Oreochromis niloticus: one gene and its partners. The protein of the gene in region 2 interacts with the protein of the main gene of each other region in a pairwise test. Links are inferred from orthologs where the notes say so. Each region holds a gene or a part of one and is shown on either strand. Other genes may lie near its edges. The genes, in order: stat1a, eif1ad, stx11a and glyr1.

Region 1 (7,664 bases), on a different chromosome or scaffold from region 2:
TCGCTTCTGTTTGGGCTACGATCCCGATATAAATGCACCTACAATTTTCTTTTCCATCAGGACATCCGGTTTAACCTTTGCTTTGATTTACTTTGCAACCTTTGATTTTCTTGTTTCAGTGTTAGTTTTTCCTCTATTTTTTTTTTTGTATGGAGGGGATATGCCAGATAAAAAAATTTAGGTAAATCAGTACAGGTATTACAATAAATACAACTTTTTAATGGTTCAAACGAGTCGATGAGAAACGTTTGGCAAAAAAAAAAAGACGCTGCCCTTTATTCGGACTTCTTACCAGTCGATGCTTTCGATCCACTTGCTCAGGTACTGCCGGATGTCCATGGGGAACGAGTCATCGTACAGCTGATCCACCTGCTCCAGGTATTTGCTGTCCAGCATCTGAAGCTGGCCCCACTGCGCCATCTTCTGGTGAATGAAAGCAGCTCTGTCAGGACGTTTTTTGCACGATGTGCCACAGCTTACATAAAAGACGGGAGAGTCTAAAAGCTGCATTCTTACTAATGACCAGCAGGTAGCCTCTTCCCCTGCTCAGTGATGCCAATAAAATAAACTCTCTTGGTGAATTTATTTGCCTAAATCTGTACTTTCACATCTTGCTAATATAACATGAACTTAACTTTATTGCTTTTTAGCTGTATTAGTGTCAGAAATAAGAGGTAATCAGTTTCAAATCAACAGGTAGGTGGTGGCCAAAATGCTCAGCTTCATGATTTTCCTAAAAAAACAGAAGGTGGCTACATATATACAGGTTTTTCTACCGAGCATCAGGCAAGATTATCTGCCATTTTAGTGTCACAGATAAGAAATGTTAAAGTGGTTTTGCTGTCATACATAGCCTGTTTCTGTGGTGGATGTTGATATGAAACATCCAACAGAGCTTCAAATAATGAGGACAGTGTATGTGCGAGTAATCACTGTAGCCTCCGACTGCTCTAAATACTCAGTTTCAATAATTTATTTTCCTACTCTTTGATCTTTATGTCATGGAGGGCACATATCTTTAACATGTGCAACAAAAGTCTTGATAGTGAGGGGCAGCCAATCAGAGGAAAGCCAGCTTAAAAGTGAAGGAGCAAAAACAGCTTAGACAGAGGATGAACTGGAGACCAAGTATGAGATAAATAAGGACTATTCTGATCTGGGAATCATGCAAAGCTACTCTAGCAGAGTCCAGGAGTGAAAATATGGAGCTGGAAATGAGCAGAAAAAGTCTGATTTTATATACTTTTTCACTGGTGTGTCATCAAAGATTGAAGAAAACTCTAGCCGGATTATTAAATGCCCACAAATGCAGATCATGTGTGTGAATTTATTGACATGTATGTCACATTTCTGTCTGCAGTCTCCAGCTGTAGACACACAACAGTTAATAAAAACATACAGAATCTATTATCATGAGGCTGTGAGATAAAAGTGGCAGAAATCTGAGACTTTTTAAAAACCCTTTAAAGGGAATTTATGCTTTTTGAGAATTCGCTAGATGTGGATACCCAGTTAAAGTTTATATACAATGTAGATGTGTGTAATAATCCTGAATAAATAAAGGAAACATTTATTAGTCATTTGTTCAGAGCTTGGTTTTCCAAGAAGTCATCTTAAACCCATAAATATATGAGGATAATTCAATAATTTGAAGGTCTAACTGAAAATAATTTTTTATTTCTGACTCTCCTTGCAGCACTGTGGACAGAAGACAAAGGTCAGGAAGCTCCGAAACATTTATCTCACTACAGAAAACCAGCTGCTTGTTTAGTGTGAGAAATTCTGAAATTATAAGTGCTGACTCGAGGATTGTCACGGGCTGCCACCTGCCTCCTTCCTGGCTCAGTTCTGCTCTGACTTAAGATCAGAAAGTAAAAGCAAAGAAAGATATGTGTGTGATGATGTAAAGGAACATCCAACACTGATTTCTGTTAAAAGCAGCTGGATTTCATAGACACTGAAGCTCATAAGCTGTAATTAGCTCCACAGATTAATTCCCATATTGTAAAACAGGATTGTTTGACAGCTAAAGAAGAGACAAATTAACCTTTTTGTTGTTTACTTTTTTAAAAATCAAACTCAATCTTATCTGTATTTATCTTGTTCTAAGTGGCTAAACCTGAATGTAGGAGGCGTCTAAGGTCAGCTTAGGTTTCAGTTTCCCCACAAATGCAACTTTGCCTCCAGCATCAGTTTAAAAATATATCATTAAGAGTATTTAAACGTATGTCTATCTAGATATATGACCTAATTCCACATTCACAAGACGATCATAGCCAATAAGTCAATTTCACAGCTTTCATTTTTAGAGCATGATCCCTTTCTGGCTCCCCAAGTCACTTAAGGCAGCCCTGTGGTCCTTTCTAGCTCTCCTCAGCCAAACTCTAATCGGTAATGTGTCTTTTTAAGGATTTCAAGCAGAGGCCCTTATTTTAACGTCTAACAATACAAGACTCAATAGATTCTCTACATGTTGGTGCCTCACCTGAGCGATCGGCATATACAATAATTCATCTGGTGTTACACATCGACTAAGATCCCATTTTACACTTGGTTGACGGGTAATTATTTACGTTTCGGACCCCTAATGGTGGGCGGTATGGACATAAGCGTGTAAAAAGTTAAGATTTGATTTAAATAACGGCTACGGACAGATACACAAATATTACAACATACACAGAGGAACGCTTATATCGCGTAAACTACCGTTAAGTGTTTCCAGGAGTCGTTTTTTTAAGCATTACCGATTAGCAACGTCAAGTTTAAATGCTCCCCTAGCACGGCTTGCTGTGTAAATAAAAGGTCACAGAGGCGATTTATATAAAACAACGTCACCTTTTGAACATGTAAGTCGTGTAACTTACCTTTAATGTAAAGGTAACGTGTATAAGCTTCCACAGGAAGTAAGTTGTGTTTCCGAAAACGCTTGAGTCCCTAAATGTGCCAGAAACAAGCCACACAGCTCTCCTACCTTTTTTCTACTCCAGTGGCGCAGCTTACTTTACGGAAACACTATCAGCCAATCACCGCACACCATTTACGACAAGCCCCCGCCCTTTTCCATGAGACAGCCAATCACAAAGAGGGAAAAACGGCTGTTCTTCACAGCTACCAAGCATGCCTTAAAAAAAAAATACACAGAGGGTGTTTTTTTATTTAAAGCTGCCCCTGTAAGCATAACATGAAGAGTCAATATGTATTTTGTCATTGAACACAGTTAAAGAGAACGACACTGTACATAAAATGTATTTTTAATCTAGTTTAAAGCAACATGACGCAGGCTTTTCGGAGGGAGAAAGTCAGTAAACAGAAGAGCCGAGAGTGACCACGTGTTTTCAGAGAAAGAGAAAGCGGCAAGGACGCCTACAACTCTGAAACTGAAACTTAACTTAAAAGTTCTGTTTGATCGTTGACATGTGCAAAAATTGTGGAATAAGAAAACAATAACTGATTAAAACAAGACGCATTTAAAAAACATAACAAAAAACTAAAAAAAAATTAGAAAAAAATAATAATTATTGCACTCTAAATATCAAAAGTTACGGAAGCGTAGAGCTGCCACCCAGGCAAAAGAAAAATAGAAGTATATCACGTTATAACGTGAAAAGTTTATTGTTCTAACAAGATACTTTTCATGTTTGTACAATATACTTTTGACGTTTGAACAACATAATATCACGTTATTACAATATACATAAATATCACGTTCGTACAATATTTATATTGTACGAACGTGATATTTATATTGTACGAACGTAATAATTATGCATATTGTAATAACGTGATATTATATTGTCCAAACGTCAAAAGTATATTGTACAAACATAGTAGTATATTGTACAAACATGATAGTATATTGTACAAACATGAAAAGTATCTTGTTAGAACAATAAACTTTTCACGTTATAACGTGATATACTTCTATTTTTCTTTTGCCTGGGTGGCAGCTCTACGCTTCCGTAAAAAGTTATAATCTTGTACCGACAACAAAAAATCACCGGTTTTAAAACGTAATTATTTCACTAATATTACTTCTTTGTAAGGTAAGTTCTTATATTTTACAAAGTTGAAAACTTCCTTGACCCAGCCCACATTTCTTCCAAGAAGCAGAATTTCCTGTAATTTTCTAAGTGGTTTTGAGCAGTATTTCCCCAGGCTTTCCAAAGACCTCTCAAAGGTTTTCTTTGGGCATTAGCTAAATTTTCACTTCACTTAATTCTTTCAGAGGAAAAAAAGAAGTGGTAGATGCATCTGGACCTTCAGCTGATCCATCTAATGTTCACCGAAGCCTCATCAGAAATGGTCTCAGTAGAAGGTGGCTGTCAGGAAGCCATTCTTAAACAGGAAGGGAAACAGGAAGAAAAGGCCTGAACTGAAAGTAAGTGGAAACCGGTCTAATGGAGTGATGAATCCAGATCTGAATGTTTATGGTTTATGGTTCTAATCATCATTAGTATGCAGACCGGTAGGCAGAAAAGAGGTACAGTGAGTGTTTACAGTCATCTGTAAAACATGGTGGAGGCTCTGACATTGTTTGGGCTGCATTTCAGTCAGTGATGTTGAAGATCTTTGTAAAAACTGATGAATTATCAACATAGAAAAGTACCATCACATTTTGATCCAGCATGCAATACCATCTGGAAAGCATCTGATTGGAAACAGTTTAATTTTTCTTCATGACAATGATCCCAAACACACTGCCAATGCAACAAACATACGTGGATAGAAAAAACACACAGTGGAACACTATCAGTCATGGATTGGCCTCCCCAGAGCCCGGACCTCAACATTATTGGAGCAGTGTGGGATCATGTTGACAGAGAACAGAACAAAAGGCAGAAACATCCAAAGAAGAGCTTTGAATGTTCTTCAAGAAACCTGAAGAACTATTTCTGAAGAATGACAGATTTCAATAAATCAATCACCTGTTTCTTATTATCCTAGTAGAAGTAAGGGTTGGTTCCCTGTTTCTTTGTGCTATGCTAGGAACCTTCTAAAATAGGGGTGTGGAACTCCAGACCTGCAGCACGGTGGCACGGTGGTTAGCACTGTTGCCGCACAGCAAGAAGGTCCTGAGTTCAATTCCACCATCAGGCCGGGTTCTTTCTGTGTGGAGTTTGCATGTTCTCCCCGTGTTTGCGTAGGTTCTCTCCGGGTACTCCGGCTTCCTCCCACCGTCCAAAGACATGCAGCTTGTGGGGATAGGTTAATTGGATAATCCAAATTGCTACTAGGTGCGAATGGTTGTCTGTCCCTGTGTGTTAGCCCTGCGACAGACTGGCGTACCCCGCCTCTCGCCCTATAACAGCTGGGATAGGCTCCAGCGCCCCCCGCGACCCTGAAAAGGATAAGCGGAAGCGAATGGATGGAACTCCAGACCTCAAGGGCCAGGTCCTTAGACATGTCGTTGATCCAACATAGCTGATTTAAATGGCTAAATTACCTCCCCAATATGTCTTGAAGTTCTCTGGAGGCCCGGTAATGAACTAATCATTTGATTCAGGTGTGTTGACCCAGGGTGATATCTAAAACCTGCAGGCCAGCCCACCGGACGTTGAGGCCTGGAGTTCCCCACCCTGTTCTAGAGGCTATCATGAAGTTGCTGAAAGCAGTGCATCATCCACCAACCAGTTTGACCGGTAGACAAACTGCAAAGGGTCCAACTGGTGGCCTGTAATGTCCTTCACATGGGCTAACACCAGGTGTTCAAGGGATTTCATGACCACAGACGTCAAGGCGACAGGCATACATGCCAACCCTCCCGATTTTTCTGGTAGAATCCTGAATTTCAGTGCCCCTCCCGAAAATCTCCCGGAGCCACCATTCTCCCGAATTTCTCCTGATTTTCTACCCGGACAACAAAAATGAAAAACCATATCCCAGAATTCATAGCATGGCCCAGCCAATTCCAGTTTCCAACAATGGCGGCAGCTACTCAGGTTTAATATTACTCTTATTACTCTTTCTGGGTTGCAAACTAAACTTTTAGCATATTTTCAGGCGAGAATGTAGCTGAGTAAACTTCAAATATCTGAGCCGGCGAGAACAGCGAACTCCCGGCACATCGTTTTCAAACCCCCGTGGTCTTTCGCTACTCAGGTTAAACATGATATATAAGTCACTTAGATAGCCTAAAAATGTTATTGCTTTTTACTTTTTTCAGTGTTTTATTTGTTCCTGAGTAAATCGGTTTGGCTGAGATTAAAATTATTAGATTAGATTAAATAAAACTTTATTAATCCCTTGGTAGGGTTCCTCCGGGGGTTTTCACACAGCTGAATAAACGTCAAACAGAAAACTGATTAAACAGAAGTGTGAGATGGTCGAGAATTTACGCCAGTGTCCTGTTATATTTAGGTGGGTCCTCAGGTGGATGCAGCCTGTGAATTTGGGCAGCCTGACTGCCAACACTGTGAAATTCAAGTTTTTTTGTAGATCCTCAGATCTTTTGAGGATGTGGGTAAAGCTGGGAGTTCCTGTTTTTTTTTTTTACCACTACAAAAATTTCTGGGTTTGTTTTTTTTGTTTTTTCACAATGTATCCACTGTGTATCCACTGCACACTCTCCATTGTACACATGGATACACTTTTTCTCTAATTTCACATGTGTATGTCTTACAATTTAAGAGTTTTCAATTTAAGAGTTGGCAGTTTTCATGCATTTACTACAGAAGCATTTCTTTGGAAAAAACTGAAACCTAATGTTGAAATAGCCCTTTGTTTTCTTATATTAAGATATCTCAGAAAATAAATGTGTAATTAAATTTCTTTATATTGATAGAAAAGGGTGTTTCAGAGGTCTGGCACACTTAAGATTAAAGTAGGCTGTATGTGGCCAACAATGTAAAATGAGTTTAACATTGCTGGTCTAATAATGACATGTCTGTTAATTTCCACATCCTGCTTCCTCTTCCTCATTAACCGTCTGCTTAAACAAAAATAAAAAATCCTGATTTCATAATTTCTCAAACTGCCACTCATGTTCTGTTTCTCTTTGGTTTTTGCTGTGGATCTGATCTGTCAAAGGGGAACTCACAAACAGCTTCAAGGTCTGAAAATCAGCAGATGCAGTGAACACTGAACATCAGACTGCTGCTCTCTGGAGGTGATGGTTCACTTCTTCATCTCTATGTTAGGCTGTAGCCGGCTTGGCTTAGTTCAGCTCGACTCAGTTTTTAGGGTTTTCCATTAGGTGTTAGCACCTTGTACTAGGTACTTCTTTAGTACTTAAATACTTTTTTAGGAGTCCCAAGCGAGCCTAGTCAAGCCCAAAACATGATGTCAACAGACTGCAATCTACTAATTGGCCAGGGACATGCAGATTGTCACATCTATTGTATTTCTAGCCTATAAGACATTTAAACAACAGTAACTAACCCAGAGTGGCTTAGAGAGAGCCATATTTACAAACCACGTCTCCACACTGCTTTCCCTTTATAGGTTAAAACTATTGGTATTGGTATCTGCAAAACCTGTATTCACTTGGTATCGGATTGATACCAAAAGTTTGCAGTATCGCACAGCACCAACCGGCGGATGACGGGCTATGTGAATGTGAAACCATCGCAAACCATGTCACAGCAGATAAATCAGAATCCTTTTACTGTCATTAAACATCAGAGGTTCAACAAAAAGCAGCTCCCCGGTAGCAGCATTTAGAATAA
Region 2 (6,990 bases):
CTGGTTCCACTTGCAGTTGGAATTTTCTGTGCGCTGGCGATACTGTGATGTAATCTTCTAAGAATCCATATATTGTAGTTTTTTTCCACAGATGTGCTAGTGTGACGCCTGCAGAACTTTTTCCGGAGGAGATGGCTGCTTGACTGCATAATAATGAGATGCATTCAGGATTAAGTGTTAAATCCGGCAAGATGGAAACATGCACAAGAGGATATCGAGCCCGTGCGACATAACCATATTCTGCTTGGGATTTATTCCATTTCAAGAGCTTTTCAGTCATTTCACAAATTAACCTTTGCTGCTCGGTAAGAGAAAAATAAAACAACATTCATTTGTAACTCAAGCTGATACAATCATTTTTAGAACCATGTCCAGCGCCAATAAGACATTTTGATTTTCTTTGGCAGCAAAGATTAAACAAATTTCTACGGAAAAGATTGAATAGATTTAACGTCATCGTACAAATATACTGTGTGCCCTTTTATATAATGTACCAGCGATGTGCAATGGACCTATCATCACAAAAAACAGTAGAAATGTATCCCATGTTGAATTTCAGTTACATTTTAATCTCACAGATTTGTAAAACAAGCAGGAATTACTAAGTTCATTGAATGAGCCCAGCCATTCAGTACATGAACTGCAGAGGGCGCTGTTGCAGGTGGACCATTACTTCAGATCATCGTAGCATCAGTCAGTGATGACAGCGACACAGAAGAGCATGCTGTCACATCTGTTTCACAATTCCTGATTGTCCGTGTCCTCAGTGCTGCTGCTATGAAGCATTTTCCCTCCTTTTCTCTTTGTCCTCATCCTCGTCCTCTTCCTCTTCGCTATCGTCCTCATCCTCCTCACTTTCACTGTACTGACAGTTACAGCGGTTAGTGTTTACAAAGAGGTCGCTATCGTCATCTTCAGAATCGCTAGCATCCTCTTCCTCGTCCTCATCCTTTTCCAGCTCTTTCTTTGTCTTATCCTGCGACGAATGCTCGTCCATAAAGCCCTCTGGCCTGGAGACAAGAAAAAAACCCAGTAAAAAGTGCAAAACATGTGATAATGAGGCCGATGGAGAAACTTAAAGGTTATGCAGTGTGTTTCCACCTACCAGAGGTTCTGTTTTTGTAGGTACTGAATGTGATCCTTGTAGAGAATAAAGCTGATCTCTGCCTTCACCTTCTCTCCTTCTTCAATAGGATCCACAATCACATAGTCACCTTTGGAGTCAGAAGATAACATTTAAATGAATAAACACAAATGGGGGTCTTATTTAGACCAGTACTAGCTATAGGAAGATCACATTACTAACCTATATGTTTGCTCTATGATATATATTGTTCTTTTGTTTTGAAAAGGCAATGAATACCATGACAACGAGGCTCACTGTACTGTATACATTATGGATGTGCAGCTGATAAGTTTGCACCTGGAGGAAGGTGCAGTAAAATATCAAAAGTGTAAACTAACTGGTATGCCCACAAAAAAACTCCCCCAAAAGCAGCACACACAGTGCAGCATGAACGTATGTGCCACAAGCCACAAAATGCAATAACATCTGCCACCAGCTGTCACTGGATTATTACTCGAAGTTTTAACCACGTAACTTCCCTTTCCATTGCTTACCTCTCTTGATCCAGATGTTCTTGCGGAACTTGGTGGGCATGCTCACCAAGAAGGTCTCACCCTGAGCTGTGACAGCATCATGTAGGTTGTTACCACGGCTCCCAGTTACCTGTAAATGTAAAGAAGCAGATGAAACACAGAATCAGAAAAATACACTCAAGAGCCACTTTATGAGGTGCACCTGTTCAACTGCTCGTTAATGTAAAATGTTTAATGAATTAATCACAGTGGGAGAGGATGGTCAATGGACTTAGGCGTGTGAACATGGTCAAGACAACCTGCGGAAGTTCAAATTGAGCATCAGAATGGGGAAGAAAAACGATTTAAGTGACACTGAACGTTGCATGGTTGTTGGTGTCAGCAAGTTGGTCTAAATATTTTCAGAAACTGCTGATGTGAGACACAATCATCTCTACAATTTATAGAGAACAGTTAAATATCCACTGGTTACAACCACGATGTGCAGAAGAGCATATCAAACCTTGGAGTAAAGGGACTACAGCCGCAGAAGACCACACTGGGTCAGGTGTCAGCTAAGAACAGGAAACTGAGGCTATAATTTGCACAGGCTCTGTAATGTTCGGGTTTGTAAAGCACTTATTTCTTAAATCAAGCTTCACAGACTGTGTTAAATCTATATCAGTTTTTGAGAGCAGGGCTACACAGTGTAAATTTGCCTTTCTATAAGTAGTGTTACATGTCCACTTTAAGGCAGCGCTGAAGTCAAATGGGGATCTTCCGTGTACTTCCAATCTATACCTAATTAAGTATCCAGTGTATCCTGCTGATTACTAAAATGTGAGTGTTGTAATATGTAGGAAATACAGGGTACTTTATACAAAGTTTACCTTCACGATCTGCTGGTTTTCTGTGGGTGTGACAAAGTCTCCAAGAACCTCCTTGACAACGTGTTTGCGTTTAGTGGCCTGTGACATTATAACCGGCAGACTTCACGTTCCTTCGCCAGCTGAGAAAGAGAGGAGTGGGTCGAAAGTTCAAGTTAACTAAAGACTAGACGTAACAGTAACAACCAACACTAAAAGGTCAGCTTAATGTGATTACCAGCGAAACTTAATTATTTCTCCTTTATGAGCCTCTATAAATAAATAATTTAAACTTCCTCTGCCAAGTTTCTTCTAAACAGTAAGTAGTTGCTTACGGATAACTTAGCAGAAAATGCTAACATTAGCTGTCTCCACATTAGCAGGTTAAATACTACCTTGAAAGAAAGAAAGAAGTGGCTGTTTGTCTTTTTGAGTCAGAATATGTCTCCGAGCAGCAGGTATAAGTTCGGGTAGAAAAAGAAACTGAAATATTCAGTCACAAAAAAAATTAAATGACATGCGTTCTTGTTTGCAGTACAGTGTGGGGGAAAAGACAGGGAATGTTACACTTCCGATGTCAAATGGGCTATATTTTCAAAATAAAAGTTCCATACGTGTAAAATGTTCATGTTATCGCTAAAAGCCCTGTCAATGATTGGGTAAAATGTGATGAAAATGATGTAAATTTACTTCAGGATGCACTGTGATTCATTGTAAGATTATATCACTAACTTATGGCGACTTTTGTTTCTTATTTTAGAAGCTACTGCTAAAGACCAGCTGTTCCGTGACCTTCCCTTGGCATTGTGGGAAAATGAGGTTGTTTTGATTAAAGGAACATTCAAGAACACGAACGTTGTTGCTCCTCTGTCGTTCAAAGTATTTCCCTACGTTATGTATGTAATGGTCCTGCTTCTTCCCAACATACCGTTTAAAATCATAAACAGGTTAAAATGTTTTCTCCCTTTATAGGTCTTATTGTCACTGTAGTTATTTGAAGTTAATTTTGCCTTATGGTTAAAGTTATTATATATGCACTAAATAAATTATATAAAGTAATGGTTTAATTATACTGTCAACCAGTATATAGTTTCAGTGCACATGAAAAACGTTATAATAAAATAGGGCAGCACAGCGGTGTGGTGGTTAGCACTGCTGCAAGAAGGTTCTGGGTTTGAATCCATCATTTTCTTCTTGAGCGTCTGTGGGTTCTCCAGCTTCCTCCCACAGTCCAGAGACATGCAGTTGGGTAAATCAGTGATTCTAAATTTCCAGTGAAAGGTTGTCTGTCTCTCTGTGTTACCCCTGTGACTATCCAGGGTTTACCTCATTTCTCACCCCATGGCAGCTGGGATAGGCTCCAGCGCCTCCCAGTGACCCTGAATTGGATAAGCAAAAGAAAATGGATAGGCAGATCATAAAATAACAAACAACTGGATTTCACACTTTTGTTTTATTCAACTCCCATCATTCGTTTCTCACTGTTATACAGCTATTATTGCAATTACATTGCACTAAACTGAGTTTGTGCAGTAAACCACTCCAGAATCAAAGCTTTATTTTTCAAAAAACTCTTTGAAGTACATACCATCAGCTCACCACTATGAGCATGGGCTCCGTTACTGTAAGTAAAGATGACTTACAAGCTGTTACCTTAAACACATTAATCATTTTGACCAAGCTTCAGGACTAACAGAAAAAGCAGATTTAATCTTGATTTAAAATTACTAGAAAGTTTCAGTATCACATCAAAGCTAGCTTTATTAGAGCTGGTAAAACACTGGTTTGGTTTAATGGAGAAGAAACATCAGCAGGACTTCACATGTGTGCGTGTTGAGCTCTTGTGCATTCTGGATAAGTGATGTGGAGCTGGGGTCCACTGACAGCTGTGGTGCATGTAGCATGATGATGTGTGTGTGTGTGTCTGTAGGAGATGTTAGGGGTTCAGTTGACTACAGCAGATGAGCACATCTTGTTGATCCCACATGCATTGGAGCCCCTGTAGAGGTAGTAGTAACCCTGTGTGAAGGAGAAAAAACAAATTAACACTCACTCCCTCACGGCTGTATATGAACAGAACTCCTTTTTTCACTATGCTATGAAACAACAGTCAGCTTTGTAAAGCCTAGTGCACGGATCAGCACTTCTACTGAGTCTGTTATGAAAACGGTGCTTTATGTCAGTGATCCTCAGTCATGTAGTTGGTTTCAAATGAAAGAGTTTTAGAATGATACGTTTTCTGAAAGGTCGTGCTGTCTCACCTGCTCTCCATAATCCTCCCCCCAGCTGTTTTTGATGGCCCAGAAGGGAATACCTTTACCTGAGAACACAGGGGGGAAACATTGTTGACAAACGAGGCAAAAAGATGTGTCTGTGCTTTCCAGAAACTGGGCAAATATTTAAGACTAAAAAATGGGATAAAAAAAATAATCATTACGTTCTCCATATCCCACCAACAGCACAGCGTGGTCGATCATCCAGGGGTTGCAGAAAATCTTCAGAGGGTGAGATATACCCTTCCTGTAAAACTGAAGGGAATGAAATGATATTCAAGATAATGTAAGAATAACATGTATCTTAAGATTATTATCTTTATTATCTTTTATGTCCAGTTTAGATAGTCTGGAGGTGATTGGAGCGCATAATAATAACAGCTAACAACAGCAGCAATATAAACAAGCGTAAGAATAAGAACTGCTCTTATTTGGGCAGGAAATATGTCACTTCTGATATGATACAGTAACAATACACTGCCCACGATACTATACACATGCAAGAAAATGATCTACATACAACTTTGCTGTTTGATAAGCACCATCACCAAGTACTGACTCTGATAAGTCAAACTGGTGGGGGTTAGGAATGTTTTAATAAATCAGTAACGTATAAACCAACATTACACAAGGAGGCAACGTGACATATTCTACTGATATTTTTATTCCACTCCTAGTTGACACCTCCACTAAGGAGCTGGGGTCACATTAATGATCTATTAAAATTTAGCTTTCATCTACCAAAGTCTTCAAGTTCAATGTAAAGATTTACTGGTAAAAAAACAAACAAACAAAAAATGAGCAAAAGCCTTATAACTTAGAAACTATGACTCTTACAAGTGCAGTGTGTATTGTCAACATATAGAAAATACTGTATAAAAACTTAAAATATGATGTCACATTTGACCTCTGACCTTTTTGTCAAGGTCAACAGACTAATCTGAAGGTCAAAGTGATATTAACCTCCTAAGACCCGAACTCTTCCACGGCATGCATTTTTAATTTCTCTTTGATATTTGGTCATATTGGGGCCCGATGAATGTAAAAACAAAGAATTTCCAGATTTTTTTTTTTTACCTTATTTTTGTTTTTAAGAAAAATGAGAGCCACAAATGAGGATATTCATTTAAAATTTTGATAGAACAGTAGCAGTATAATGTCCTCGTAAGTGGATATCAGGCCCATATAGAAAAAATTGAGTATTTTGGTCTAAATAACCAAAAATGTGATGTCCACATATGTGGACGGCAGGTCCTAGGAGGTTAATGTTGTATAGCGGGATTTAAAACTCAGTTTCTGACTGCCATTGTTAATAATGACAATGTATTTTTATACTCTTATATAAGACAATAGAATGATAAATGGGGATTCTAACTATCACAGTATAGTTTGCATCTAAATATCACATCACATTTGACCTCTGACCTCACTTTTACATTTCCGTCTTAATTTCAAGCTGACCCCAAAACGTGCTACGTCTTTAAAGAGAGGATTGTTAAGAGACTGAGCTGTTTAGTTAGTCACAAATATACTTTAGTAATATTAAATAATAAGCTCAAGTTATTCATGTCCAGTTGTTTACAAATCAGTACTTATTATCTATCACATACTCACTGATACCCTTCTCTAGTTTTGACTGCACTATAAACTTCTTCAAGTACCTCTAAAAAACAAAGAAAATGAATTCATCCTCTTAAAAATAAACAATGTGCAAAGACTGAGCTGCTTTGCTTCTTGTTGTTTTGAGGAGTGATTTAACTTCTTAAAAAACCTCCTACCTGCATAGCAAAAGCATTCAGAGCAACAGAGACTGGCCCATTCTCAGCCAGCCAAGCAGCAATCTCTGAGAAAGAAAAGATACAAAAATAAATCAAAATGAGTCAATTTAACAACCCTTAGTTTTAAAGCATCACAGTACAGTTAGAATAAGAGTAAAATCACTGACATGTCCATGCAGTTAAACCACTGTTGTCTGTTCATAAACTCTATTTGATGTCTTGCCACTTTGTTGACACATTTATTTTCTGTGTGCTCACCCTTCTCATCTTTGGGTAACTCCACGGAGCTGTTGATGTAGGCGGCCACCTTCCCGGTGGTGAAGTCACACCTCTGCTTGTGCCCGGTGTAGGAGTAGTCACTTTCAGTCTCCAGACCCCCTTAACCACACGAGGGGCAAAGATTATAAGAAAGCACTTTAAGGAAAAATCTGCTTGTGTTATCAGTAAAAACATCCCTCTGTTTTTACTTATTGCTAAACACAGAATAAAATCTTA
Region 3 (7,562 bases), on a different chromosome or scaffold from region 2:
GGAGCTGACACACAAATATTTTTGTGTTTTTTTTATGTGAAGCAACACGTGGAGGAAAAGCACAGCCTTGGCTTGTAGCTGGGGGTGGCTAACATATAGTTGCACAATCCTCACAAATCTAACTTGCCTCCCCAGCTAACCACAATTGCTGGTTGAGCTGTGATCAGTGTTTCTACACACTTGTGAAGCAATGGTTGCAATAAGAAACACGTCTATAGCAAGTACCAGTTCCGAGCTTAGCTGTAGATGTACATTCAAGTTGTCCAAATATAGCCACTCCAAGGCATTTATTTATAAATAAAATCATACTATATGGGCTTAAATATTGCATGCCGCATTCCAAACTGTACAAAGCTAAAAGCTAAACAAAGCTGCAAGCCACATGAAATAATAATTTAGATGTTTTTACAGCAGTCGTGTATGCATAAGCTGTTCTCAGTAGCAATCAGGAAATGTAACTACCATTATCGCACTGTATATATTTGCATATGTGCATGTGGTTTGAATCACTCTGACTAGTTGGTATCAACTCAGTAAAGAAAATGATACCAGAATGTGATATCTGGACACATCTAGAGCAGCAAAAAGCTTTCATGTAAGCATTCAGAAACATTTGCAGGAAAGCGGATTTGAATCAAACGTTCTGGTAGGGTGCGGGAACTGGTGGCGCCTCATTTACAGCACGGGAAACAACAACAAAACAGCTTCTTGCATGGATTGCTTTCCTTGTATATTTTAGCCTGCTTGATGTGCGCTGAAGCTTTGGCTACATAGTCCTGTGTTGCCCCTACATTTGCTTCTATGTTGTCGAGCATGCAACCCTGCTGCTCCACCAGCATCGCCATCTGGAAAAAAAGCTCGTGAATGTCCCTAATGCGGCCCTCCAGCTCCAGCAGCTCCTTGTGCCTGTTCTCAATCTCGTTGAGAGCAGATCTGGCAGTCCTCCCTTCCAGTAGGAGATTATCCGAGAAGACATTCCACTTGCCCGTCTCAATCATCTCGTCTATCTGCTCCCTGGTTACCTCCTTGCCCATGATCTCTGCTTGCCTCTGGATGCGGGTTTTGCAATTCTCCCTTTGCGCCATTTCAGCCTCATTGTATTCAGACATGGCACTGTGGAAGGCGCTGGTCAAAGACACATACTGCGAGCGCACCATGCGAGCCAAAGCTGATGTGACACCATGGGCTTCCTCCAGCTCCTTGCTCAGCTTCCCCATTTTTTCCAGCTTTTTATAAATGGACTCCCCTCTGGCCTTGATGTCTCGTCCCAGTGCGTTGGAGTCCCGCTTGATGCTGCTGATCCTCCTGACTGATGTGAGGAACCTGGTGTTCTGCTTCCCCAGACGTTTCACATCCATTCTGAGCAACTGGATCTCCTTCCTCATCACTTGGGCATCCTTGTAGATGCCATCCATCATGTCCTCACCCTCAAACACGATGGCGTGTTGCTCCAGAGGCTTCTCATCCTCACCGGTGAGTCTCTCGTTCTCCGTGGGCTTGTACTCCTGCTCTGCAGGCGTGAAGGCCTGGAGCTCAGTCAGTCGGTCCTTCATCTTACCTGCAAGAGTCACAGACATTTATTCACCTTTCTAATGGAATTGTGGGAAATGCATTCTTTACTCTGAAGAACTACATTAAAAAAAACTGATATCAAAAATTCTCATAGCACAACTTTATTTTGCTGGCTTTGCTCCTCGTCATCTTATTTCCTGTCACATGTATACTGTTCATATTAAACAAAGCAAAAGTTTCAAATAGTGATATTAGTACATGTAAGAAAACAACCAGGCTTTGGACTGTTGTTTCTACTCTCAGCTCTATATGACGTCACTTTGTACATATATCCTTAACATAGTCATCTCAGGCACACAGGTCTCTGGCCTTGAGCACAGAAGCCCCACCCATCTGTATTCAAGCCTTTTATTTTCAGCTAATCAGAAGAAAATTGGGGTAAAGGTCGGCGGCCATAAGGAGAGAGGACTTAAAATGGCTTATCTGACAGGTTTATTCTGAAATGTGAATCACACAAAGCTACACAAGTTAAGTCCCAGATTTATTTATTTATTTTTAATGTATGGAAAATCTCCAGTCACTTACTGAATGAAACTGGATATTGAATAGCAAATAAGATGGGTCACATAAATGTGACCAGCATGAGTATTAATCTACTGTTCTTTGGTAATTTCCTTTCAATATTGCACTGAATCCTCCTGTTAACAGAGAGAGGAAGGGGCTGGTATGACACTGAGTTCTTCTTTTGATATGTTATTATTAATATTAAGGCACTAATGTTAAGTCTCACTTTTAGATAACGATAACAGTTTTTGATGTGCTATGCAAGGTGGCTGTAGGTCAGTGAAAAGTCCTCAAAAGCATTGGCGAGTTACTTCCTCAGCTGTGTGACTCACATCATCATCAGATAGAAGTTATTTTAAAAGTTCCTGTCCTTCATTCGCGGTTATTTCCTGCTAAACGAATCAATTCCTGAGGTGTACTGTGATGTAGATAATGTTAAAAATCCTCACTAAAATGAAAAAACCACATCAGAGAAGCGCAAAGCATCCTCTCCCGTGATAAGGTGAGATCGGGAGGAAACAGAATAGCTCGAAAGCAATTTTTTGATATAGAAATCGACCTATATGACACAATACACCAATGTATCGATTACTGAGCCTATATCTACATAGAGAGTACAACAGAAGGTGCACACAGCCTACCTTTTTGTGTCCTCCACCGATATTAGAGAATTAAAGTCCCAAAAGCAGAAGGGGCGAGTACGGAAAGAGTCATTTCCTCTTTTTGTCTCGGTTATAAATGCAAATTTCAACAGTCAACTTAGAATTTTAAGGAGGTCTTGCATCACGTCCTATACATTACAAGTGACACGCTGACATTACACTGCCCATATAGCCTGCAGCGGGTATTAATGCGGAAGATAACGCCTTTTCCCCTTTACACATTTCACTGCTTCTCGGGTTTGATTCCAGGAAGGAGGTGTAGGTCAGTCACAGTCATTTTATATGGTGTGTTTTTATGTCAAAGCGTGCGCATTTGGCATTTGCGCAATAAAGGTTTTGTGTTCTAAAAACGTTTTAGACTTATGAGTCGACCACGAATCTCAGTCATTTTCATTTTAGTTTAAACTCTTCGCTGTGAAGATAGAAAAGAATACAAGAAGGACAAAAAAAGAAATTCAGCTTACTATACTAATATAAAAACGCGAATAGAAGTTCAACATTAACCTTGAAAACGGGGGCAAAGCCTCAACATAAAACACATTTAGTGTTCAGGAACAAGTGTTTGACACAAGTGGAAAGTGCAACCCCAATATTTTACATGTGGTTTTAATGATCAGGTCTAAAAATACAATGCTAAAAATATACATCGAGTATTAAAATTTACATTTCTGAGAGAAAGGGGAGGGGGGGGGGGAGTGTTACAACACTGTGAGTCTTGTAACCTGTAATAAGCAATTTTCTTTGGTAGTTGGGCAAGAAAAAGCCTTCATAACTGCCTTATATGTAGGGACAGAAGAAGTGCTATGGCCATTTGCTCCATTTAGTCAGCTGCAACAGTCCTGTGTTGAAAAATTGATAATGTATCAGAGTATTTAAAAAGCTGAAGTACTCGCAATGTAAAATTACAGATGATAAAGATCAAGTTGAAATGAAGAAGGGATACTCACGCAAGGTTTTTTTTAAATCATTATTTTACTTAAGGAGGACAAGTCACACAGACTTAGTATAGGCTGATATCCAGATTATTGACACTGTCCTTTGACTGGTATCATACAGTTACAGGAAGAAATCATTAATGGTTACAGGAGTCGTAGTCATACCAGCCTGTTAATGGCTAAACTTTTATACTTCTATCAATAAAGGCCACATTACACTTTCACATAAAATCACATAAAATCTAAATATACCTAAAATAACAATCTAAAATCACCTAACGTAAAGATTTAAGGTTAAATATTAACAGCTCTAGATTAGCAATTGCACTTTGCTTTTACAGATAAATGCCTTAAATAAATATTTCACTATACATCTATTTTTTAAGCACCTATCCAATTCAGGCTTGCAGGAAGTGGGGCCCTTCCCAGAGAAACGGAGAATCAGCACCTTGGTGGGTCTTGTTTTATGATGACCAGCCCAACTTGGCTTCATCACCATCAATGTTCAAACCTTTCTATTAGTGGCGCCATCTACTGTGCACCCATCTGTGGGTGTATCCTGGAAGTCAGTGTGATTCATTAAAAGTTTCACCATATTTTAGAATCAATAAAAGCTTCATAAGGCCTAATTGTGATAACATGGAAAGCAGCCGCAAAACATCTTCTTGAAAGGGTTGTTTTTATCAGATTTAGTGGCATTATCCAGATAGACCCTGCTTTCCAGAATGATCACATCAACATTTTGAACATTTTTCTGGATGTTTTCCACTCCTGTGCCCTGCTCCTCCATGAGGACAGCCACATCTAGGAACAGTTCCTGGATCCCCTCGATTCTTTTCTCCAGCTCCTGCAGCTCATGGTGCCGGCTCTCGATCTGCATGAGGGCAGACCGGGCAGATTTGCCTTGTATCTGGGTGCTGAACACAGTCAGTTCTTCACCCTCCATCATCTCCTCCAGCTCCTCCATGCTAACCTCCTTGCCCACTATCTCCATCTGTCTCTGGATCTGCTTTTTACAGGCTTCCCTGTGGTTCATCTCTGTGTCATTGTAGCTGAACATCACCTCCCGCAGAGCGTTGCTCAGGCAGTGGTACTGTGTTCGAGCAACGCGCACTGTGGGGTCCAAACTGCCGCGCTGGACCTCCAGTTCACCTCTGAGGTTATTTAGCATATGCAGCCTCTGCAACACAGCTTCTCCTCTGCGTTTAATATCTGCCCCGATTGCATTGGAGTCCCGTTTTATCACAATGGAGTCTGAAGTCTTATTCAAAGCCTGATAGTTCACGTCCTTCAGATCTCTGATGTCATTTTGGATCTGCTGGATTTCCAGACGTATCAGCTGGGCCTCCTTCAGGACATCATCCAGCTCATTATCTCCAGCTGTTGCATCATGATCTGATAGGTTATCTAGCTCCACTGTACTGAAACCCTCAGTGTCAGTCTGGACCTGATGCAGGTGTCCCAGTCTGTCTCTCATGGCTGGAAGGAAACAGAAAAAAAAGGTAGATTTACTCATCTGGGAGAAAAGGTTTATCCATGACTTGAAAAAAAAGCATCACAAACAATATATTTAGTGTTTAGCAACTTTTAGAGGCAATGAGCAACCTTATTCTTCATTTGTAATCATGTTTGAGGCCAGTCTTCAGCTTCTAAGGGAGGTATTTGGCTCTTTGCCTGCTAAAGTTGAAATTAAGCTATGTTGAACAGCTAGGTGTGTGTCTGTGTGTGTGTGAGCAGATTGCTTTTTCAGAAAAAAGCAATCTGCAGCAGTTCAAAATGATGACGATGGGAGAAGTGAGTGTCTTAAAGTGAAAAAAAAAAACCCTCACCATTACGAAGCTGAGGAGATTATTATCATCTGTGGGTTTGTGTGTACGTGCAATGCCTTTTTTAAATTACACATGTTGTGTTGATTAAAAATAAATATACAATAAGCTTTGCAGCTGCTTTTATTTTTTATTCTTTTTTTACAAAGTGAATGAATAAAAAATTTCAAACTGAAATTTAAGGAAATATTTACTCTTCAAACTTGGTTTAATTGATCACAACCAATTAAACCACTGAACTGCTGAACTGACTGACACTGCCTGACCTTTTTACCCCGAACAGGCCAAACTGTAACATCCCTGCTGAAGACATAAATGCTTCCTGTTGTACAAGCTAAGAAGAAAAATGCAATTTAAAAAAACAGAAAAACACCAAGAGAAAGCTGTTTCCCAGCTAATAACTGTAAAGCTTTTATTCTGTTAAGCTCATCTTACAAAATAAAACACAAAGGTTTTGTAATCAGTGCATAGCAGCGTGGCACATTTTCTACGTCTCCAGTATCGAGTAATCTTAGATGAATTCTCCTGATCCACTAGGACATGTAGTCTGTCAAAGACTTGCCAAACAAGTTCTCAAACAGAGGAGCTGTTGGATTTTTTTGTTAGTGCTAAAACTTTGAATTAAAGTGTTTTAAGCTTTGGTGACGGTTTAGGTCCCAAGCAGATCAGGTAAACGTGAGCCTCAAGGCTGAATGCAGCAGCCCAGGTTTTATTTGGACTTGAGGAACTTTAACACTCTCATTTCCTACTTTCCTGAAAAGCCCAACCCCCAAAAAACAAAAATAATAATAATATTTTAAGCTTAACTCAACAAAAAACAAGAGAAGACAAGCAAATCATGTTACTGATCACCGTCATACAAAGCAGACATGAACTCAGTCACAAGGAAGTCTGGTTGGATTTAAATGATTTTTACAATAGATAATACACATTTTACATATTTAAACATAATCTATTATTCTGAGCACTGAAAAAGTCTTATTTGGGATTTGAATACTTTCTGTAAACATTAACAGTGTAAAGTACATGGACATAGGTGTATGATTTTGCCAGTACTGGCCCTTTTCTTTGATGATGATGGTTCATCAAGAAAAATTCTCCCTTTCTATCAGATGCAGTTTAAACTCACTAACAGTTTAATGTCTTGTAGCAGGATGCTGTGCTGACAACATTTGCACTAAAAAGGCCCCCTGAGCAAACCTAAAGAATATAAAACCTATAACGCTATGATTATATAATTATTATATCTTACTTGTAGTGTTCTTAGTTAGCTGTAGATGAGTTTCAGACTTCCTTGTCCTCTGTAGTTAAAGGTGATCATGAAAACAGGAGTTCAGTCCAGTTAGCAGAGTGACGTCTGCTTTAAGAGCAAGTGATTTTTTAAAACTGTTAACCATCATCTCTGATAGACCTGCTTATGAGGAAAGGTTTTTAAAAACAAAACTTTCTGCATTCCTCTCGTGTCACGTGGAGACGTGAGGTGACGTACAGTAGGACAAAGCCATACTTGTCAGCGATTTAACATAAAGATGAAGCACCCCTGCTTACATTTCACCTCTATTATCATTACCTTTACTGCACTACTTTTAGCGTTCTCGGGTGTTGTTTTCTGTCAACAGAAATGGCAATGAAGGGGGTAAATGGCTGTGCTGAGGCCTTGACAAAGCACATATAAGATAACATCACGGATAGAGGTCACTGACTTTGGACACACAACATGTTAAAAAAAATAAAGAGGAAGTATTTGAGATAGCTTATCTTCCAGAGGGGTGGGACCAAAATGTTCTTATATGATAAAAACTCAAGTCTAAAAAAAAAGAAAAAGAAAAAGAAGAAGGCAAGAAAGACTGCCTTGTCTTCTTTATTTAATAATTCTACATCCTTTCCTGTTTCATGAAACACAATCTAAGTGTGAAGCCACCAACCATCAAGTGATTTTCAGTCATGCAGCCAGAAAAAGAAACTCAAGCTGGATAGATCATTCGGTGCATAGGCTGCATGTACATGAGCAGTAATTTCCATCAGCCTACTGAGTTTCTGAGTCACTGGGATGTTTCTCATGG
Region 4 (7,448 bases), on a different chromosome or scaffold from region 2:
CTGATGATCACCTTTGATTTCTCAGGGGAGAAGCTTCAGCAAATGTCGGTCCTGAACAGTCCTACGACCTGTGGATTACTGACAGCTGTTCATCGTGTACACCTCAGACTCTCAGTACAGCTCTGGGTCATGCCACCTACAGACACGCTGTGACAAAGCTGCAGTGGTTGGATGTACTAGTGCTGGACTATGGGAGGAATCTCCTTCTTCTGAATGTGGATAAGACAAAAGAGATGCTGACTGACTTCAAAAGGAAGAGGAAGGATACACCACCCGTGGGATGTTGATGTGGTGGAGAAGTCCAAGAACCTGGGCATCCACATCATCAACAGGCTGAACCGGCAGACCAACACAAAGGCTGTATGCGAAGAGGACGAGCAGGCTCTGCTTCCACAGGCAGAGGGAGTGTGTGCTCTGCTGTGCGAGCAGTATCACAGCTGCTGACACCAACAGACTGAACGAACCCGACAGGAAGACGGTCTCTGTGATTGGCTGCACTGGACACATTTTAAATTGTGTTGGTGACGAGGTCAGTGAGCAAACTAATCTAGGAGTAACTCCAACACTTTGATTAGAAACGTTCCCAACATTAAGCGCACGCAGCCAGCAGTTTTAAACAAAAAGTCTGTTACACACCGCGACGAGCAAAGAGTCGGAGCTGTTGAGACGGTGAGCTCAGGTCGAGTAAAAGAAAATATGTTTCTAGCATCTTTCCTGTATCACTGCTAAAACCTTCTCTTGGAAAAAGCTAGCGGGAATCCCAAAGAACTGCTTGAGCCAGTCGACGTGATGTCACGTGTGATGTGCAACACTGTAGGCGAGGGTGAGAATGGCAGGCAGACTGGATATCCAGAGGAGCACCGTTTCTAACAGACTGATTCATCTCCATAAACCTGGGTAAAGAGGCGGGACCACCTCCACTTTCACTGTGTGACCATTGCACTCTGTAGCTACAGGTTTATGCTTGTAAACAGCACACCTGCCGGTGCAGCTCGTGTTGTTTTAGTGTGGTTACTAGGCCCCATCGTCATCATCAGCATGTGAAGATTTCCACATACAAACTGAGTTTTACAAAGAGCTCAGAGCATGCAGCACCACAGGTGTGGGTCCTGGGGGGACGTGGCCACAGACTCACTGTCACTTCTCTGACCAATCCCAGCACACGACTGCCTTTTAACGTTTTTGATTAAGAAAGGAAAAAAACAAAGAAAAACAAACACACCACAACTGTTTGTAGACAGTCTATGTGAATAAAGACACTGAGCAAAAAGCTCAGTTATAATTAGGCAAATTACTGTGGTGCTGCTTGCTATGAACTTAAAACCTCCAACAGAAAACTCCAGTCGTCACGTGATTGGGGGTTACATCTAAGTAGACTGTGACTTTTCTGCATCTTCTCGGTGTTAGGTGTCAGAGGTCCTGGCTCACCTGTTCTTTCCCCTTTGCTTTCTTTAAGAAGTCCTCCACTGCATCAACAGCTTGCTGGAAGCGCTTTCCTTTATTTATCTTGATCATCTCTTCTTTGTGGGCATGGTACGGCTTCAGCTGTTCTACTTTGATCCAGGCACTGCAGACACACAACTCTCCCATATCAGCTGGAGAAGGCACAGCATGGTTAGCCAGAACAGGAAGCTGATGATCCATACTTACTGGTCCTCTGTTCCAAAGAACTTCACAAAGTGGCATTTCTTGCCCCTGGGCTTTTTCAGGTCCTTGGGAGGGCTTACTATCTGAAACGAGAGTGTTCAGTGTAACGTTAGCATCATTTTCTTAATCTAACAAACGCGTGGACAAGCTGTGGCTCCTTACCTTTCCTGGCCATGGTGGGTAACGACCGAGCTTCCCCCTGAAATAAGACCACAGAGTTAGCACCGAGCCCGTGATCTTCACAGAGAAGCACTCAGGCTCACTGTTCTTTATATCTCTGCTCAGCAGTTCCACAGTGAGCTGGTGGCTTTGGCAACGATACATCAGCTAACATTATCAGTGACATCCAAAGTCTGACTCTACATGAACTGTCAGATAAAGAAAAACTGGGCCAAGCGCGGATCATTCCCAGGTCTGTGTAGCATCAGCTGCCCGCCTCAAACCCCAGCGGTGTTGATTCGGTACTAAAAGCACCATAAGACAAGCATTGAGCTCGCAGTCTGACTGCTAACAGCAGGATTCGAAGACTGCGGAGATGGCTTGTATTGATCAGTGCCCGTGTACCCGTGACCAGCTCGCGGCGCTCGGTGGGATTTGTCCCCGAGCCTCCGCACACTGCCCTCGTCTCCTCAGCACTTGTTCGCCCCGGTTTCACTCAGATTGCTAACTGCATCGTCTGTCACCCTTCCCGTGGTGCCGGTGTAACGGTCTCCACAAACAAATGCGTAAATGTGTGGAAATCTAGCCTTTACGAAAAACTTGCAAATGCGCCCGCCCGCAGTAACACGGAAGCCGAGCGCAGACATCCGCTCAGGCTCTGCTGCTAGCAAAGATCGTCACAGACCACAACATTTCCACGAGCCGAGGCACTGAGTCCGTTTAACGTAGGTCTGCACATACACACGACGGCGAATAAAATGATCTTCAAAGACAAGTTTGCGTGGGGAAAAACACCTGCCTAGTTTGGGTTTAAACCGTTACTGTAGCTTGTTTGCTAGCCAGCAGCTAACGTCGGCTGCAGGCTGAGTCAGCTCGGTTAGCGATTTGTTTGGGTCGGCTATCCACTAACCCAGCACGGGAAACACTTGCCAAGGATTACACCTGGTTTACGCCACGGAGAAACATCACTGCCACGCGTCCTAATGCAGCTCTGCTCTATGGTCCGCAGACAGGAACCGGAGCACTCAACCTTGTGTAAAGGTTACTCACCACACTAGATCCCCGATCCTCAGATGCACCGTCGCCATCTTACAACTTTAATAAAACGTCGCACTGAATGAGAGGAAAAGACAACACACACCCACTAATCACATGTGAGGCCAGCCCCACCCCTTTCTCATACGTCACATCCGTCGCTCTGTTGTTTACTACACGTTTGAAGCATCAGCAACAGCAGCATGCACAATATCTACAGCATGTCCTTCATACACACATAACGATATAAATCCACAGTAAGAAATGACTCAGCCACGGGGAGCCACACGCTGGTCCCAGGCCTGCAGAAACGGGAAAGGTTACATCGGGAAGGGGATCCTCCAAAAAACCTTGGCCGAATCATTATTACAAAAATGCGCTTTCCACATAGGGTCGGCCAACTCTGCTGCTGCCTGAAGACAAACGAAGAGGGAGGGAGGGTGTGTTAGGAGGCTGTGAGAGTGTGGAGGCAGCTATATCTACAGGAGAGCAGGTGGAAAGGAAGGTCAGGAGCACTGGAGGTGGATTCAGGTTGTTCTACACAGGTGTGCGGTGACAGTAAATGGGAGTGTTTCTTATATAATGCTTCTCTACGTTACGTGAGCACTCAAAACACTTTACACAGCATGTCTTATTCATCATTTAAAGACATCTTTCTGTCTGTCTAACATTCACACATTCATACTACGATGAATGTATCAGGAGTAACTCTGGATTCCGTATCTTGCCCAAGAATCTTTGTCATGCTGAGCTTGTTTTGGCATTTCTAATTTTTGAGTCACCAGTAATGAGAGCTGTCACCTGCCGTTGTGGTGGTACCGCGGAGTTTCCCCGGGACCTGTGGCTGCTGGCCCTAGCACCTCAAACCTGGAAGACACAGTAATGATCTGGATGGTGGAGTGCAGCAGGACTGTCTTCCTTGTTTGCACTCACCTTAGATGAATATGCAGGGTGCAGAAGGAGGCTGCATGGAACATGTCTGCATGTTGGTGACCTGTCCACAGTGTACCCTGCCTCTCACCAGCTGTCGTAGGGTGAGAGGCCCTGAATCGGATAAAAAACTGATGGATGGAATAGAAACAAACGGTGACTCAAGGGTTTTTCACTGTACTGCATCGGTAAGAAAGGAGCTCCATCTCATTTTGTGAACTTGTCATAGTTAAGTTTTATTTCTTTGTTTTTAATATAAATCCACTTGTTGTGATTAAAGCAGTATATTTAGAGTAACACATAACACATGCCAGTTTTCTCATCTTACATTAGCACTTTCTGTGAATATTGAGATCACACCTCATCAGTTCAAGCCATTTTCACATTGTATTTAGATAAACAAGACTGCATACTGGAATTTGATATCCCTTATTTAACTTAACTTTGACAACTTTGATCCTGATAAAACATTTTTTTTCAGCTTCCAAAAAATAGTTTAAAAAAGCAACTTGTGTAAAATGTGCTGTTTATTGTCCTCCGTCAGTTTCTAAGTCAGTTCTTGACTCCCTGGTACAACTCTCACACTATAGAAAAGCTCTCTGATTGACGAAAGTAAGAACAACCCTAGGTTTCTCTTCAGCACTGTAGACAGGCTGACAGAAAGTTAGAGCTCCGTTGAGCCGACCATTCCTTTAACCTTAACTAGTAACGATTTCATAAATTCCTTCACAAATAAGATTTTAACTATTTGAGAATTGGGGTGGATGAGGTTTGCCCTGAGTTCCTGAAGGCTCTGGATGTTGTGAAGCCAGCTTTTTACCCTGTTGACGATACTTGAGGGTGCATGGAAGTTTGCCCAACCAGGTTACATGTGTTTTGTGGACATGGAGAAGGCATTCGACCGTGTCCCTAAGGTGTTCTTCGCGAGTATGGGGTGTCTGGCCTGCTGCTCCCTACACAACTGTTCCAAGAGCTTGGTCTGCATAGCCGGCAATAAGTCGAACTTGTTCCCGGTGGGAACGAGCCTCTTCCTCAGAGATAGGGTGAGGAGTTCAGAAGTAGGGGTTCAGAGTAGAGGCGCTACTCTTCCACATCAAAAGGTACCGGTTGAGGTGGTTTGGGCATCTGACAAAGATGCCTCCTGGGCCCTGGGCCAGACCCAGGACACACTGGAGAGATTAACTCTTGGCTGGCCTGGGAACAACTTGATGTTCTCTCGGACAAGAGGTGGTTGAGGAGAGGGAGGTCTGGGCTTTTCTGCTTAGGCTGCTGCCCCCGGATAAGTGGAAGAAGATGGATGGATGGACCTTCACTCCATTTCCAGAGTGTAACAATCAATCTTAAATGCCCATGGTGTTGATTGCTACTAATGACAAGAAATAAAGCCGTTTCAACGCTTAGGGCTGAACCATTTTTTAATGGTGGTGGTGGGGGAGCACTATGCAATACATTCAGATTTAGAAATTATATTCATTGTTAATTGTAGCTAGCTTATTTTAATAAACAACACTCATAACAAATCATATGCATAACTATGGTGGCAACTATGGATTGTGCCACCACAGTAGATTCGTCCCTGAATTAATTTCTATCCCTGAAAAGCCTTCAGCTGATCCAAAATGCTGCAGTGAATATACTGACAACAACTAGAAAGAGAGAGTGTGGTTGTCCTTTACTGGCTTCTTTTCGTTGGCTCCCTGTTAAATCCAGAATTTAAAATGCTTCTCATCACATACAAGGTCTTAAATAATCAGGCCCCATCTTATCTTAATGACCTTATAGTACCATATCACCCCATTAGAGCACTTTGCTCTCACGCTACCCTATGAACTTGTTGTTCCCAGAGTATTTAAAAGTAGAATGGGAGGCAGAGCCTTCAGCTTTCAGGCTCCTCTTCTGTGGAACCAGCTTCCTGTTTGGATTCGGGAGACAGACGCCCGCTTTTCTTTTAACATTACGCCTAAAACTTTCCTTTTTGATGAAGCATATAGTTAGGGCTGGATCAGGTGATGCTGAATCCTCCCATATTTACAGTGCAATAGGTGTAGGCTGCTGGGAGCTTCCTGTAATGCAATTCACTCTCTGCATTTAATTATTAGTTATTATTAATCTCTGGGTCGGTTCCACAGCATGTCTTTGTTCTGTCTTCCTCCCCTCCTCTCCAGTTGCATGCAGCAGATGACTGCCCCCTCCCTGAGCCTGGTTCTGCTGAAGGTTTCCTCATGTTAAAAGGGAGATTTTCCTTCACACTGTCAAAGCACTTGCTCATGGGAGGGAGGGGCATCCGATTGTTGTTGTTTTTTCTGTATTATTGTAGGGTCTTTACTTTTTACAATATAAACTGCCTTGAGGCAATTGTTGTAATTCAGTGCTACATAAATAAAATTGAATTGTGATACCATAAATTCCATACATGTTTTCCACAATCAAATACCCCACAAGACATTACATTTTTATTGAATTTTTTATTGAAAGCACACAGCCGATAACCCTGTTTAAAGCCCATAAATAAATGAAACACTTAGTACTCTTGTGAGTTTTAGTGACAATATATCAAAGATACATTCTTAACCCTGTCACCAAGTTAAAGAAATTAAAGATCGAACTTTTCATCATCAAAAATTTATGTAGCTGGCTGTGATGATGGTAATATCAGTCCATGTATTCATGCCAGATATGCATAAGAAAATAAATACATGGTGTATTTGGGACTCGTAGGTAAAAACACATAGTAACTGAGGGTCACCACAATATTAAAGTGAGAATATAAGTATATATTAAAAGCTAGGAAGACCAGTCAAAACAGATTTTTTTTTAGAATGAAAATCAAAAACATATCTTTTAGAGCCCCCTGTTCTTGCCTGATACCAATGCACCAAACTCCTGGATAGAGATTTCTTTATTTAAGTACTGCTGAAGCTGGCGATTTGTGATGTGTCCAAGGCGCAGTGCATCATCGATGGAAAACTTTTTTCCTGATTTTCTGTCATGAAGCACAGAGGATTCTCCCTGCGGCCCTTTGACTGAGATCTCTTCCCAGTCACACTCCTGGCTCTGCAGGTTGACAAACATCTTCCAGTCGATCAGCCCTAGTTTGTAGGCTTCCTCTGGTCGCATCTCCTTGCCGGTATCTGGGTCGATGACGACAATAGACCTGCGGAGATGGCTTTCCCTCTGTTCCCTCTTCATCCTCACAGCTGCCAGGTTCTTTTTAAGCTTCTCTATTTCATCATCCTTCTGGTTTGTTACAGCCCTCAGCTCTGCCAATTCCTTCTGTAATGAATCAAGCCTCAACTCCAAGTTCTTTGAATCCTCTCTTGGCGCAGACTCCGTAATAAGCCGAGTCTCTTTGCTTGTGATCTCAATCTCTGACCGAAGCTTGCGAATCTCATTTTGCAGCCTTTGGTTTTCCTGCTGCAATCGGCTACTTTCATCACGGATGTAGTCCAATTCTTTGGTAGACTTGGTGTTAGAAAACTCCATATCAGAGAGCCTGGAATTGAGGGTGGATAGTTCTTGGTCAAGTTCTCGCCTTCTTCTTTTCTCATCTTCCAGAGTTCTCTTTAGGTTCTCAATCTCAATCTCTGCCTCTGGGTCCCGCTCAACTTGGACTTTCTCAGTGCGGACAACCCTTTCCTTCACATCTACCTTTTCCAGGGTGATCTGCTGCTGAATAA

Evidence for each region.
Region 1: the proteins of eif1ad (region 2) and stat1a interact in binary tests that used the Homo sapiens proteins (3 or more experiments, as listed by UniProt). The two-hybrid records come from large-scale screens. The link is inferred for Oreochromis niloticus from reciprocal best matches to the Homo sapiens genes EIF1AD and STAT1.
Region 3: the proteins of eif1ad (region 2) and stx11a interact in binary tests that used the Homo sapiens proteins (3 or more experiments, as listed by UniProt). The two-hybrid records come from large-scale screens. The link is inferred for Oreochromis niloticus from reciprocal best matches to the Homo sapiens genes EIF1AD and STX11.
Region 4: the proteins of eif1ad (region 2) and glyr1 interact in binary tests that used the Homo sapiens proteins (3 or more experiments, as listed by UniProt). The two-hybrid records come from large-scale screens. The link is inferred for Oreochromis niloticus from reciprocal best matches to the Homo sapiens genes EIF1AD and GLYR1.

What each region holds. Positions count from the first base shown.
Region 1 is NC_031986.2:20,027,850-20,035,513, forward strand, and holds the start of stat1a (signal transducer and activator of transcription 1a), read right to left. Parts: upstream 3,021-7,664; 5' UTR 2,865-3,020; intron 477-2,864; exon of another isoform or gene 424-476; 5' UTR 421-423; coding exon 293-420; intron 1-292. UniProt on the Homo sapiens protein: Signal transducer and transcription activator that mediates cellular responses to interferons (IFNs), cytokine KITLG/SCF and other cytokines and other growth factors.
Region 2 is NC_031966.2:32,617,050-32,624,039, forward strand, and holds the start of eif1ad (putative RNA-binding protein EIF1AD), read right to left. Parts: upstream 3,024-6,990; 5' UTR 2,840-3,023; intron 2,810-2,839; exon of another isoform or gene 2,683-2,809; intron 2,588-2,682; 5' UTR 2,556-2,587; coding exon 2,469-2,555; intron 1,730-2,468; coding exon 1,621-1,729; intron 1,215-1,620; coding exon 1,106-1,214; intron 1,011-1,105; coding exon 776-1,010; 3' UTR 1-775. Other genes in the region: ctsf (cathepsin F), read right to left, coding at 4,389-4,463, 4,706-4,764, 4,882-4,972, 6,496-6,560, 6,754-6,873.
Region 3 is NC_031983.2:20,446,859-20,454,420, reverse strand, and holds the start of stx11a (syntaxin-11a), read right to left. Parts: upstream 3,001-7,562; 5' UTR 2,718-3,000; intron 1,559-2,717; 5' UTR 1,554-1,558; coding exon 672-1,553; 3' UTR 1-671. Other genes in the region: syntaxin-11-like, read right to left, coding at 4,299-5,150. UniProt on the Homo sapiens protein: SNARE that acts to regulate protein transport between late endosomes and the trans-Golgi network.
Region 4 is NC_031969.2:563,667-571,114, reverse strand, and holds the start of glyr1 (cytokine-like nuclear factor N-PAC), read right to left. Parts: upstream 3,014-7,448; 5' UTR 2,895-3,013; coding exon 2,857-2,894; intron 1,847-2,856; coding exon 1,810-1,846; intron 1,731-1,809; coding exon 1,651-1,730; intron 1,568-1,650; coding exon 1,429-1,567; intron 1-1,428. Other genes in the region: ppl (periplakin), read right to left, coding at 6,613-7,448. UniProt on the Homo sapiens protein: Cytokine-like nuclear factor with chromatin gene reader activity involved in chromatin modification and regulation of gene expression. Acts as a nucleosome-destabilizing factor that is recruited to genes during transcriptional activation.